Arabidopsis thaliana: one gene and its partner. The protein of the gene in region 2 interacts with the protein of the main gene of each other region in a pairwise test. Each region holds a gene or a part of one and is shown on either strand. Other genes may lie near its edges. The genes, in order: NPC5 and AT1G74910.

The links.
Region 1: the proteins of AT1G74910 (region 2) and NPC5 interact in a two-hybrid assay, tested with the Arabidopsis thaliana proteins (one large-scale study listed by BioGRID).

The regions. Positions count from the first base shown.
Region 1 is NC_003074.8:845,509-849,908, forward strand, and holds NPC5 (non-specific phospholipase C5), read right to left. Parts: upstream 2,790-4,400; coding exon 2,347-2,789; intron 2,223-2,346; coding exon 2,025-2,222; intron 1,928-2,024; coding exon 1,518-1,927; intron 1,442-1,517; coding exon 1,271-1,441; intron 1,186-1,270; coding exon 842-1,185; 3' UTR 713-841; downstream 1-712. UniProt on the Arabidopsis thaliana protein: Non-specific phospholipase C (PLC) which assumes minor PLC activity during inorganic phosphate starvation. Can hydrolyze both phosphatidylcholine (PC) and phosphatidylethanolamine (PE).
Region 2 is NC_003070.9:28,134,854-28,140,977, reverse strand, and holds AT1G74910 (ADP-glucose pyrophosphorylase family protein), read left to right. Parts: upstream 1-2,006; 5' UTR 2,007-2,521; coding exon 2,522-2,582; intron 2,583-2,790; coding exon 2,791-2,888; intron 2,889-2,972; coding exon 2,973-3,073; intron 3,074-3,185; coding exon 3,186-3,264; intron 3,265-3,366; coding exon 3,367-3,427; intron 3,428-3,517; coding exon 3,518-3,564; intron 3,565-3,644; coding exon 3,645-3,737; intron 3,738-3,819; coding exon 3,820-3,910; intron 3,911-4,008; coding exon 4,009-4,057; intron 4,058-4,139; coding exon 4,140-4,253; intron 4,254-4,373; coding exon 4,374-4,521; intron 4,522-4,608; coding exon 4,609-4,701; intron 4,702-4,781; coding exon 4,782-4,850; coding exon of another isoform or gene 4,851-4,854; intron 4,855-4,969; coding exon 4,970-5,012; intron 5,013-5,107; coding exon 5,108-5,208; 3' UTR 5,209-5,596; downstream 5,597-6,124. Other genes in the region: ALDH10A8 (aldehyde dehydrogenase 10A8), read left to right, coding at 1-31, 208-284, 509-622, 905-982, 1,071-1,222, 1,346-1,406, 1,510-1,616, 1,719-1,803; OTP43 (Pentatricopeptide repeat (PPR) superfamily protein), read right to left, coding at 5,597-5,676, 5,764-6,124.

The DNA of each region.
Region 1 (4,400 bases), on a different chromosome or scaffold from region 2:
AAAATTGACGTTGAGACTTTACTTGTAACCTTCAGACAGACAAGAAACATGAGAAGAAAATTGTCAAGAAAAACAAGAACACACGTTACGGCAAAGAATATAAACGAGAATATGCGTATGATTCTATATCAACCAAAGAATATGCGAATACACATGGGAAATTAAATAAAGACAACAATTATCGTTTTGATTTAATTTTTTCTATTAACAGTACATATTCCTTCCAAGTGATACTGATACCTTTTCATAAAATAAAATAATACTCGTGGTCGTGTGAAAAAAAGAAACAAGAATTCGTATGATCTTCGATTCAAGGTGGGATATTAATTAATTTTTAGTGTACAATTTGTATTATGCTTGTAATTGTGACAGTCCACCAACCTATTTTTATTGTACCACGATAAATCTTTTTAGATTTCCTAAAACGTACTTGGTCTAAAATAGCGGTGTCCATTTATTACCGATCATTTTGTAGTGACGAAAGAGTAACTTGTACTCGAACAATTTTGTGACGTGCCATACAAGAATAGGAATACAAAGTCGCGCCTAAGTTTTTTTTTTGTTTTTCGAGTCTAGATCGTTTATGTTGGCATGTCCAGTCACAATTTTTATACGACTTATGTCAGCAGTTTTGTTTCTTTTGTTCTTTTTACGCCAGCATTTAGGTTCAATTACTAGAAAACAAATTGAATTCAATAGGGGCCATTTGATAGATCCACACTACTATTGACTCTTCACACAAAAACTACATAAAAAAAAACTAAATGAAAATTTCTTATACAGTCCAGTAATCATGACAAACGAAGCAAATGTTTAACTTATTGAAAAAGACGATCAGATTTTAATTTGACCAAGGAGTAGCATGTGATGGCTCTGATTGTGATGGTGGTGGTTTCACAACATTATGATCATCATCATCATCAACGCAAAAAACGATGTCGTTCTCATCACCTCCCCTTTCTCTTGCCTTTTTAGACTCTTCTACAAACTTATCAAACGCTTTCGTAACGTATTTAGAAGCATCTGAAACGCAAGTTTTTTTGCATAGTTTGTATAGCAATTCTTCGTTTTTGTAGTCTCCTTTTAAACCCGCAGCAACTATTACAAGCTCTTCTTGAAAGTCGCTCAATTCTGCATTTTCTTTTGCCACCGTCCCTCTCATTTTGACCGGATTTGACAATGTTTCTTTTTTTTTTTAAAAAACGAAGTATTTATTCAAAATAATCACAAATTTTGATAGAATTTATTAGAAATGAAAAAATGTAATTACCAGGGCAATCTTGTCTTGGTGAGTTTCTCGTAATAACAGATTCAAAAGTGCCAGCCCACGAATCTCTCTTTGTCAAAAAATCTTTGAGTTTGAAAATTTTCTTGACCGTTGCGGGAATTGACGAATGCTCATATTGTGACATTAGGTACGGCCCATTTGACCCATGAAGAACTACACATTTTACCAAAAATTGTCATTTAATTAACACATTATAGTATAATTAAATTATTGTCTACCACATACTTACCTGTGCCAGGCTCAATCCAAGGGGAGATGAAGAAAGTCGGAACCCTAACGCCGAGCCGGTTAAATTCAAAATTGTACGGTGGAGGTCCCAAGATACCATCCGGATTAGGAACTCCGTCGAGGGGAGTAGGGACATGGTCGTAGAATCCACCGTGTTCGTCATATGTTATAATGAATAAAATCTCATTCCATTGAGGACTCGATCTCAAGGCCTCGTAAACTTCTTTCACGAGCTTTTGGCCTTCGGAGACGTCATGTGATGGATGATCATCGTTAGCGGGATTCAACAATAGATCATACCAACGTTGTTCAACCACAACATAGTTCGGTAGATTCCCTTCTTTACAATCTTTCTTGAATTGTAGTCCGTAGTCGTGGAAACGTGTCAAATACTTGAGTTTTCTCAAATTCCTGAAAAACCAAACACAAAAGAATACTAATAAAGATTAATATCGCAAAGCAGTATATAATACTAAAATCTTTTGCAACTCGTAAAAGATTAAGATACCTATAAAAGAGAGTAGTAGGAAAACATTGGTAATAAATCCCAAAGGTAAAACCAGCTTCATCGAGTGACTCGAATATCGTCTTTTGTGGAAAACCTTCGATCAGTAATTTCCTCTCGTTGTTCGTTGTTCCGTGTGATGTTGCCGAATGTATAAACAATCGGTTTGGCTGTGTTGCACCCGGAACCGACGCAAACCACCTGTCCAATACATGAAATTTGCTATAAACCGGGATTTTGCTAGACAACCAATTTCCAATTCGGTTTTAGTTGGATGAACCGAACCGTTATACAGATGTAATTTATACAGGTCAAACGGTCTCACCTATCACATATAGCGAAATTTTGAACCAATTCCTTGTAAACCGGCAAAGCGTCCGGTTTAAATCCGTTCATAACCGCAGAAGACATCCCTTTCATCTTTCGCTCGGCGTTTTGGGCAAATCCGGACATTGTAGCTGGACCCGGGTTTGGGTCCGGGTGACCCGAATCCCATGGTTTACCGAACACTTGTTCGTAAATATCCCGAATGGAGTGACCTGGATTCGGGTCAACGTACTGAGACTGGTCGCCAAAGACGACGTTGTGGGAATTTAGGTCAGAGGAAAAACCCGGGTTGAATTTCTGGTCCGATTTCATGACTCCGTCAATTTCCCGGTTTAGCTCTTTGAACCAGCCAAGTGTGTGGTCGAAAGAACGATTCTCTTGAACCAAAACGACGATGGTTTTGATCGGATACGATTCTGAGCCTTTTTTCGTCTCGGCCATTCTATTTGTTTTCCAATTGAATTATTGATGAAAGTTTGAGAAGATCGTGGGTTTATAGTGCTTGACAAATTGAAGAGATAGATATTTACAAGTAAAAAGCAAATAAGAAATACGCATCATGCATGCTTATTGTCCTTTGAATTGGTATCACGTCAAGTAAAGTGCCCCATTTAAAGTTAGAAGTAAATCAAAATTATAAGCATCATATGCTTATTAGTTATGGATATTTTTCGTTCTCTCACATTTTGAGTCTATACAAATCTGGACAATTGAAGAATACCTCATCAAATCCCTATAAAATACTTAACATTTTACCCCAAAAATTACTATAAATACATTTTACTGAAAACTATTTCACACATTTTGGACTATGGTACCAATTTTGCTGTGCTTTTCTAAGTAGAAGCAGAAGTAATATTACCTTTATAGTCTAATGGAAATTCACCATATTTCTGCATTGTCTGTATAAGAGAATAAATTGCATAGATGTATTTTTCAGGACACAGTTTAATGAAGCAGCAAAATATGAATTTATGATTTTGGATGACAATGAAAATACCTTTTCGATTCTCAGAGCATAATTGAGGACATCTAATAGCAACGTATATTACCCATCCCATCCCACTCCCACAAACATAGACTAGAAGAACATGGGCCAAAACATTTATGAAGGAAAAGACCTTGGTTAACAACAAGAGATCAATCGGTTGATTATCTATATCCAAAATGCAATAAAAATCAGACAGAACATCCCTCAACTAAAATCTTCTTCATCTTCTTCACAAGACTCTATGATACCTCTCATATACCATTGGACTATAATCTGCAGTAAATGAGGTTGCATATCCCTAACAGCCTTTTCTATGGTCTTTTCTGCGACTTCGACAATGGCTAATTTATCTTTGTGTCGGCAGTAGAAACTCAAAATTCTTCAAACTAGGATCTTCAAGTTCCACGTCAAAAAGGTTCCTAGGAGGTAGGTGGATGTGATAATTTATATACATTACACAACCACTTAGAAGAGCATTCATAACAAATATCTACATAATCAACGTAACGATGTCTCTAATGTTTTCCAACACAACACCATGTTTAAAATTAAGATGCACATAAGATGTACATAATTCTCCTATTCAGCTTTGCTCTCTAACATTTATTAGTCATCTATTCATCGAGCAGAAGAAAGCACAAAAAATGATGTAATTATTTACGAATTATAAATTAGGAAGAAGGAAAAAAGATCTTTCAAGTTAATTTTTGTAAAATTGAAAATTCATTATATTCTCTCAAAATTGAACATTGTTTTTGAGGAAATCTTCTAAGGATTGTGAATTATTCAAAAGGCTTACCGACACAATATTCACATGTAGAAAGAATTCAGTGCTCTAGCCTTGGATATTAGCAAAAAAATGTATATTAAAACTAAACAAACCACACAAAGTTTAAAATATGCATATATGTTTTACGTTAATAATCTTTATCAATGCATATGAAAATTCGGAATATAAACAATAGCCGTCTTTTATTGATCAAGTAAACATCAGCGATCTCAGGCTGATGTGATCGATCATGTCATGAGGCCGGCCCTGGATCCCATGCAATAAAAAAACT
Region 2 (6,124 bases):
ATTGTGTTTGATGACGTTGATCTTGATAAAGGTGAATGTCACAAAAAGTAGTTTAGTGGATTTGGAGTTTTTTTATAATAACTTCTTCTTGTGCTATATTCAAGATAGTACTAATGCTTTTGTTGCTTTGAGACGAGTAGACATGACTTAAATTTGCTTAATCTTAAAATTAAACTCTTTGTATGTTTTGACGCCGGCAAATGATAGCTGCTGAATGGGCTCTTTTCGGTTGCTTCTGGACAAATGGTCAAATCTGCAGTGCAACTTCCCGCCTTCTTGTTCACGTAAGTCCCAATCTTCTACTTGCTTTAAGGTTTTACCTGATCTTCCCAATATGACATGCGAATATTTATTACTGGAGAAGTGAATGTTCCAAGTCATACGGGAAGATGTTTCCATTAAGGTCAATGACAATGACATTTATTTCAGATCAAACCTTCTGGTGGATATGCCAACAGGGATACAATTGCTGACTCTCTTGTCTAAATTTTTTTATTTTATATCTTAGGAAAGCATCGCATCTGAGTTCATAGAGAAGCTTGTAAAATGGAGCAAGAACATTAAAATTTCAGACCCCATGGAAGAAGGATGCAGGCTTGGTCCTGTAGTTAGCAAAGGACAGGTAAAATCCCAGTGATCGTTTTTTCTGTCTTCATATTATTTGTCAATTTCCCATCAGGTTGCAATACAACAACCAGGACTAAAAAGGAAAAGAGAATTGAGTTCTGTAGTATAGTGATTAACTTTTGTCCCTCTAATTCTGAACCGTTTAGCTTTTAGAGCATCAATCAAATCACATCTAGCATATGATATTTCATCACGCTTATCATGTTCTTACTTGGTAGGTGTGCTTTTCTTCTATGATCATATAATCTGATTGAGCTGACAAATGTAAATATTACAGTACGAGAAGATATTGAAGTTTATCTCAACGGCCAAGAGTGAAGGAGCAACGATCTTGCATGGTGGTTCCCGACCTGAGGTATTACATCTCCCTCCCTTACCTATCCTTGATGCAGTTTCTTCCAGACTATGATGATGACCTTTTATATCATATCTATATTTCACAGCATCTGGAAAAGGGCTTCTTCATTGAACCAACCATCATAACTGATGTAACCACTTCAATGCAAATATGGAGAGAAGAAGTTTTCGGGCCTGTTCTTTGCGTGAAAACATTTGCCAGTGAGGACGAGGCAATTGAGCTAGCAAATGACTCTCAGTAAGTTAACGTTTCTCCAGAAAGTGAAATCTGATCAAATCCCATCCGCTGACACTGGTGTTTAAATCAAATTTATCATTTAAGATCTTATGTGGCTGAAAATTATTCATTGATTAATGACAGTTACGGACTAGGAGCTGCAGTGATATCTAATGACACAGAAAGATGTGACCGTATAAGCGAGGTTAGTACCGGTTTCTTGAACCATTCAGATTTGTTTTTAATGCCTAGCAAGTGAAATAACAATACCATCAAATAACACAAACAATTGGTGTCTACTTTGTTAGGCCTTTGAAGCTGGGATTGTCTGGATTAACTGCTCGCAGCCTTGCTTTACCCAAGCCCCATGGGGTGGTGTCAAACGCAGTGGGTTTGGACGAGAACTTGGAGAATGGTACATTTCTTTTTCTATCTCGAATCTTGTTTTTAAAAGACTATATCTTGATGGCTTGTACTGAACAAATCTTGGTTATGGCTGGTTTCTTGCGTGCTTCAGGGGACTTGATAACTACTTGAGTGTGAAGCAAGTGACTCTCTACACTTCAAACGATCCCTGGGGATGGTACAAATCTCCCAACTAAGTAATGAATACATTGTCATGGAAATGGAAACCAAACCAAATGCTGTCTGTTCAAATCTTTGTGCTTTTATTATCAGTCTGTCTAGTTCGGTCCTGAAACTCTTTTGTAAAACCTGTTGAATTTATAATGAATAAAAGATGCTTTGCTGATAATTATTGGTTGTTCTATAAAGGCCAGTATTGAGGCACCATTTTAGGCTCTGGTGCAGCAGTATCAAGAACATGAACCATTTTATGTCACCTTCAAGTCACATCAAAGTTAAAACTCACATGGCAATCAATTCCAAATCATAACTTTTTTTTTTACTATAATTGCTTGAAATAAACATTTTATGAGATCTGAAGATTTGTGGATTTTTTTTCCATTTTTTAAATAGTAAAATGTTTGGCAACCAAATCTGAAAAAGAGGTAAAGACGAGAGGTCTCGCGCTTATCCTTAAAGGACTGTGGTGAATGGTGAGTGTGACTTGGAGGGACCCCATCACCGCAACAATACAGCTTCTTAGATCTCGATAACCACAACTAACCTGTCACAGTTTCGATTAGATCTTCTCAAAAACTTCACCTTTTTTTGTTTTTCCAGTTTCTCAGAGGAGATCTTCCTTCAAAGCTCAAATCCTTTTGTCTGAATTGTGATACTGCTGTCCCCATTTTTCTGCAAGTTGGGAAATTTCTGTCAAAGTTTTGTGGGTCTGTTAAAAAGATCTGAGCTTTGAACATGGGGAGCTCAATGGAGGAGAAAGTGGTGGCTGTGATCATGGTCGGTGGTCCAACCAAAGGTAACCGCTAAATATGTTTGCTTTTTTTCTTTCTTTCTTTCTGATTCCTCCTCAAAAGCAAATGACTGTGAAATCTCGATTGATCAAATCTAATTCCGTTAGATTTTGATATCCAATGCGTTTCTCTCTTGTTTGGTTATTAGTTTCGTGTATCCGAATGATTATGGTTCTGATTCTGTGTAAATATTGGTTATTGAGTGATGCACAGGCACTCGATTTCGGCCATTGTCGCTGAATATTCCAAAGCCTCTGTTTCCTATTGCGGGACAACCAATGGTGCATCATCCAATTTCAGCTTGTAAAAGAGTAATATTCTTCACTCATGATTTCAACAATTCAGATCACTGGAGAGACTGAGAGATGATGATACCAATCCCTTATTGTCTGCAGATTCCAAATTTAGCTCAAATATATCTTGTTGGCTTCTATGAGGAAAGGGAATTTGCACTTTATGTTTCAGCCATCTCTAATGAACTTAAAGTTCCTGTTAGGTTAGTGAATCTCTCCTCTTTTTGCGTTAGCTTCAGCTCAAGTATCAGTGGCTCATTCGTGTAGCTCTGATCTTTCTTCTCTGTTTTTTTTTTTTGGGATTCTGCAAATTAGATATCTGCGAGAAGACAAACCACATGGTTCAGCTGGTGGGCTGTATCACTTTAGAAATCTTATTATGGAAGATAGTCCGGTTAGTCTCCAAGGATCTTACTATATAGAATCATTCTTCTTTTGTGTTTTATGGACTAAATGCTTCTTCTCACATCTGAGTTCCTATATCTACTTCTTGCAGTCTCATATCTTCCTGCTTAACTGTGATGTTTGCTGCAGTTTCCCCTTGCCCAAAATGCTCGGTATATTCTTTTTCATTAATCCAAACCTTGTGAGGTCTCATCTTATGGTTTTGAAGGTCGTTCTTAACTATTGCTACTTTTGATCAACAGAGGCTCACAGGGGATATGGTGGAATTGGAACTCTTCTTGTGATCAAGGTTTGTGATTGTATATGATTAGTCTGGTTTTTGTTTTTTTGGCGGGTCAATCAAATTTGCTTCTGCGTTTTGGTTTTTAGGTCTCTCCTGAATCAGCCAGCCAATTTGGAGAATTGGTTGCAGATCCAGTTACTAATGAGCTGCTTCATTACACCGAGAAACCCGAAACTTTTGTATGTACATTTATTACTGAGATGACCCAATCTTTATAGCATCTTCAAGCTTTGATTCTTATGTTTTATTTTGGAAACACAGGTCAGTGATCGAATTAACTGTGGTGTTTATGTATTTACACCTGAAATTTTTAATGCCATAGGAGATGTTTCTACTCAGAGGAAAGATAGAGGTAAAGCAGTAACAAAGATCTTACACATAATTTGTGTTTTCTTGTCTTAGCTTTCTATCTTTAAAGACTTCTCATCTTTTTCCTCTGTTTTGTTGTAGCAACTCTAAAACGTGTTTCCAGCTTCGAAGCTCTTCAACCGGCAACAAGGTTTGTCGATTGTCTCCTTGTCCATAATTGAAAACCATTCGAATCATCTTCTTAAAATGATCTTTTAACTTCTTTAAAATAGGATCCCGACAGATTTTGTAAGACTGGATCAAGACATCCTTTCACCTCTAGCTGGGAAGAAACGGCTATATACTTATGAGACTATGGATTTCTGGGAGCAAATCAAATCTCCTGGGTATGTATTGCTTGCCTTGTGTTTTCATTTCTTTGAAGCCGCAAGGATACAAAATGTTTAGCAGCAGCTGAAACAGGGATAGTGTTTATGGCTCTGACTTATGAGTTGACTTTTGCACAGGATGTCGTTGAGGTGTTCAGGACTCTATCTTTCCCAATTCCGCTTGACATCTCCCCAACTGTTGGCTAGTGGTGATGGAACAAGGAGTGCCATTGTGATTGGTGATGTTTACATACATCCTTCTGCAAAAGTTCACCCAACTGCAAAGGTACTTACATATGGTTTTGTCCCTCGTTGAAGCAATTTCTTCTGATTCCACTTTTATCACAAAGCATTAAGTTTCATCTATTAACAGATTGGTCCCAACGTCTCAATCTCTGCAAATGCTCGTGTTGGACCGGGCGTCAGGCTTATGAGCTGCATCATCCTTGACGATGTTGAGATCATGGTATGTCTACTTATACAAGACACAAAGTGAAAAACGGTTAAATTTTCTCGAGGTTGACCCTTCAGTGACTCTTTGCCCAGGAAAATGCAGTGGTGACTAACGCAATTGTTGGGTGGAAATCTTCTATCGGGAGATGGTCCCGCGTCCAGGCATGTTTCCCTCTTCTGCTCATCTCTTAAGAGCCTGACTCATTCTTTTTGGACCTTGAAATGTTTTTGTTTGATTCCTTTACAATCGTGAACCTGAAGTTGTACTTTGTTGATCACAGGCTGAGGGAGTCTACAATTCGAAACTCGGAGTTACAATTCTCGGTAAACTGTTCCTCCATTGTAGCTCCTTCTCTTTATATACAGAAAGCAAAATCTCTTTATAGACAGATAACTAACCTCAAACATAATGGTTACAGGAGACTCGGTTGCAGTTGAAGACGAGGTTGTGGTGACCAGCAGTATTGTTCTTCCAAACAAGACACTGAACGTCAGTGTTCAAGACGAGATCATTTTGTAACTGAAAAACGGAAGTTGAAAAATGGAACCAACCCAGTGGGGAGCAGCCACACTATCTCCCTCTGATTCAATATCTACTGGAGAACCACATAAGCAAATATTTGGGAACTAATTCACATGTATCATTTATTTACACCAAGAATTTTCCAACATTGTATCAATTCCATTTTCTATACTCACAACACAGCTACTGTAAAAGGCACTGAATTTTTGCCCAGAATAATAAAGCACTTGTGTAGTTTTGGCATTGATAATAAACTGTTCTTGCAAAATCCTATGAAGCCTTTCCTGGTCCAGTCTCTATTAACTGCAATGCAATGCTTTGGGGAAGTATTGATTGTTGTAAACATAGCAAGAGTCTATCCCCAATCACATGCAGACTAGTAACTTCATAGCCTGAACTTCCGGAGAAGCCGGCTACCAGATTTACTCTGCAATCTCAAGATCTCCTTTGCAAAAGCTTGATTCCCTGTCAAAAGAAGCCCGTTCAGAACTCGATTAAAAGTAAATTTCCGGGGTATAAACCCTCTCTCAACCATCTCAAGCAATAGTTTACCAGCGACCACCATATCTTCTGATCTTTTTCTCACAAACATTCCACTTATCAGTATGTTGTAAGTATCTAGATTTGGCAAGCAATCACCACTCCCCATTTTCTCAAACAAACCCAACGCTTTCTCGACCTCGCTGCATTCCGAATAATAACGGATCATCATGTTATATGTCTGGAAGTTTGGTTCACAGCCTTCATTCTCCATTCTCTGCATCAACTCCTCTCCACGACTAAACTCTCCAGCGTGAAACAACCCTCTTATCAACACATTATAAGTCGTCACATTCGGCTCATAACCTCTCCTCACCATTTCCTCAAACATCACAACCGCATTCTCCACATTATCTTTCTTACACAAAACTTG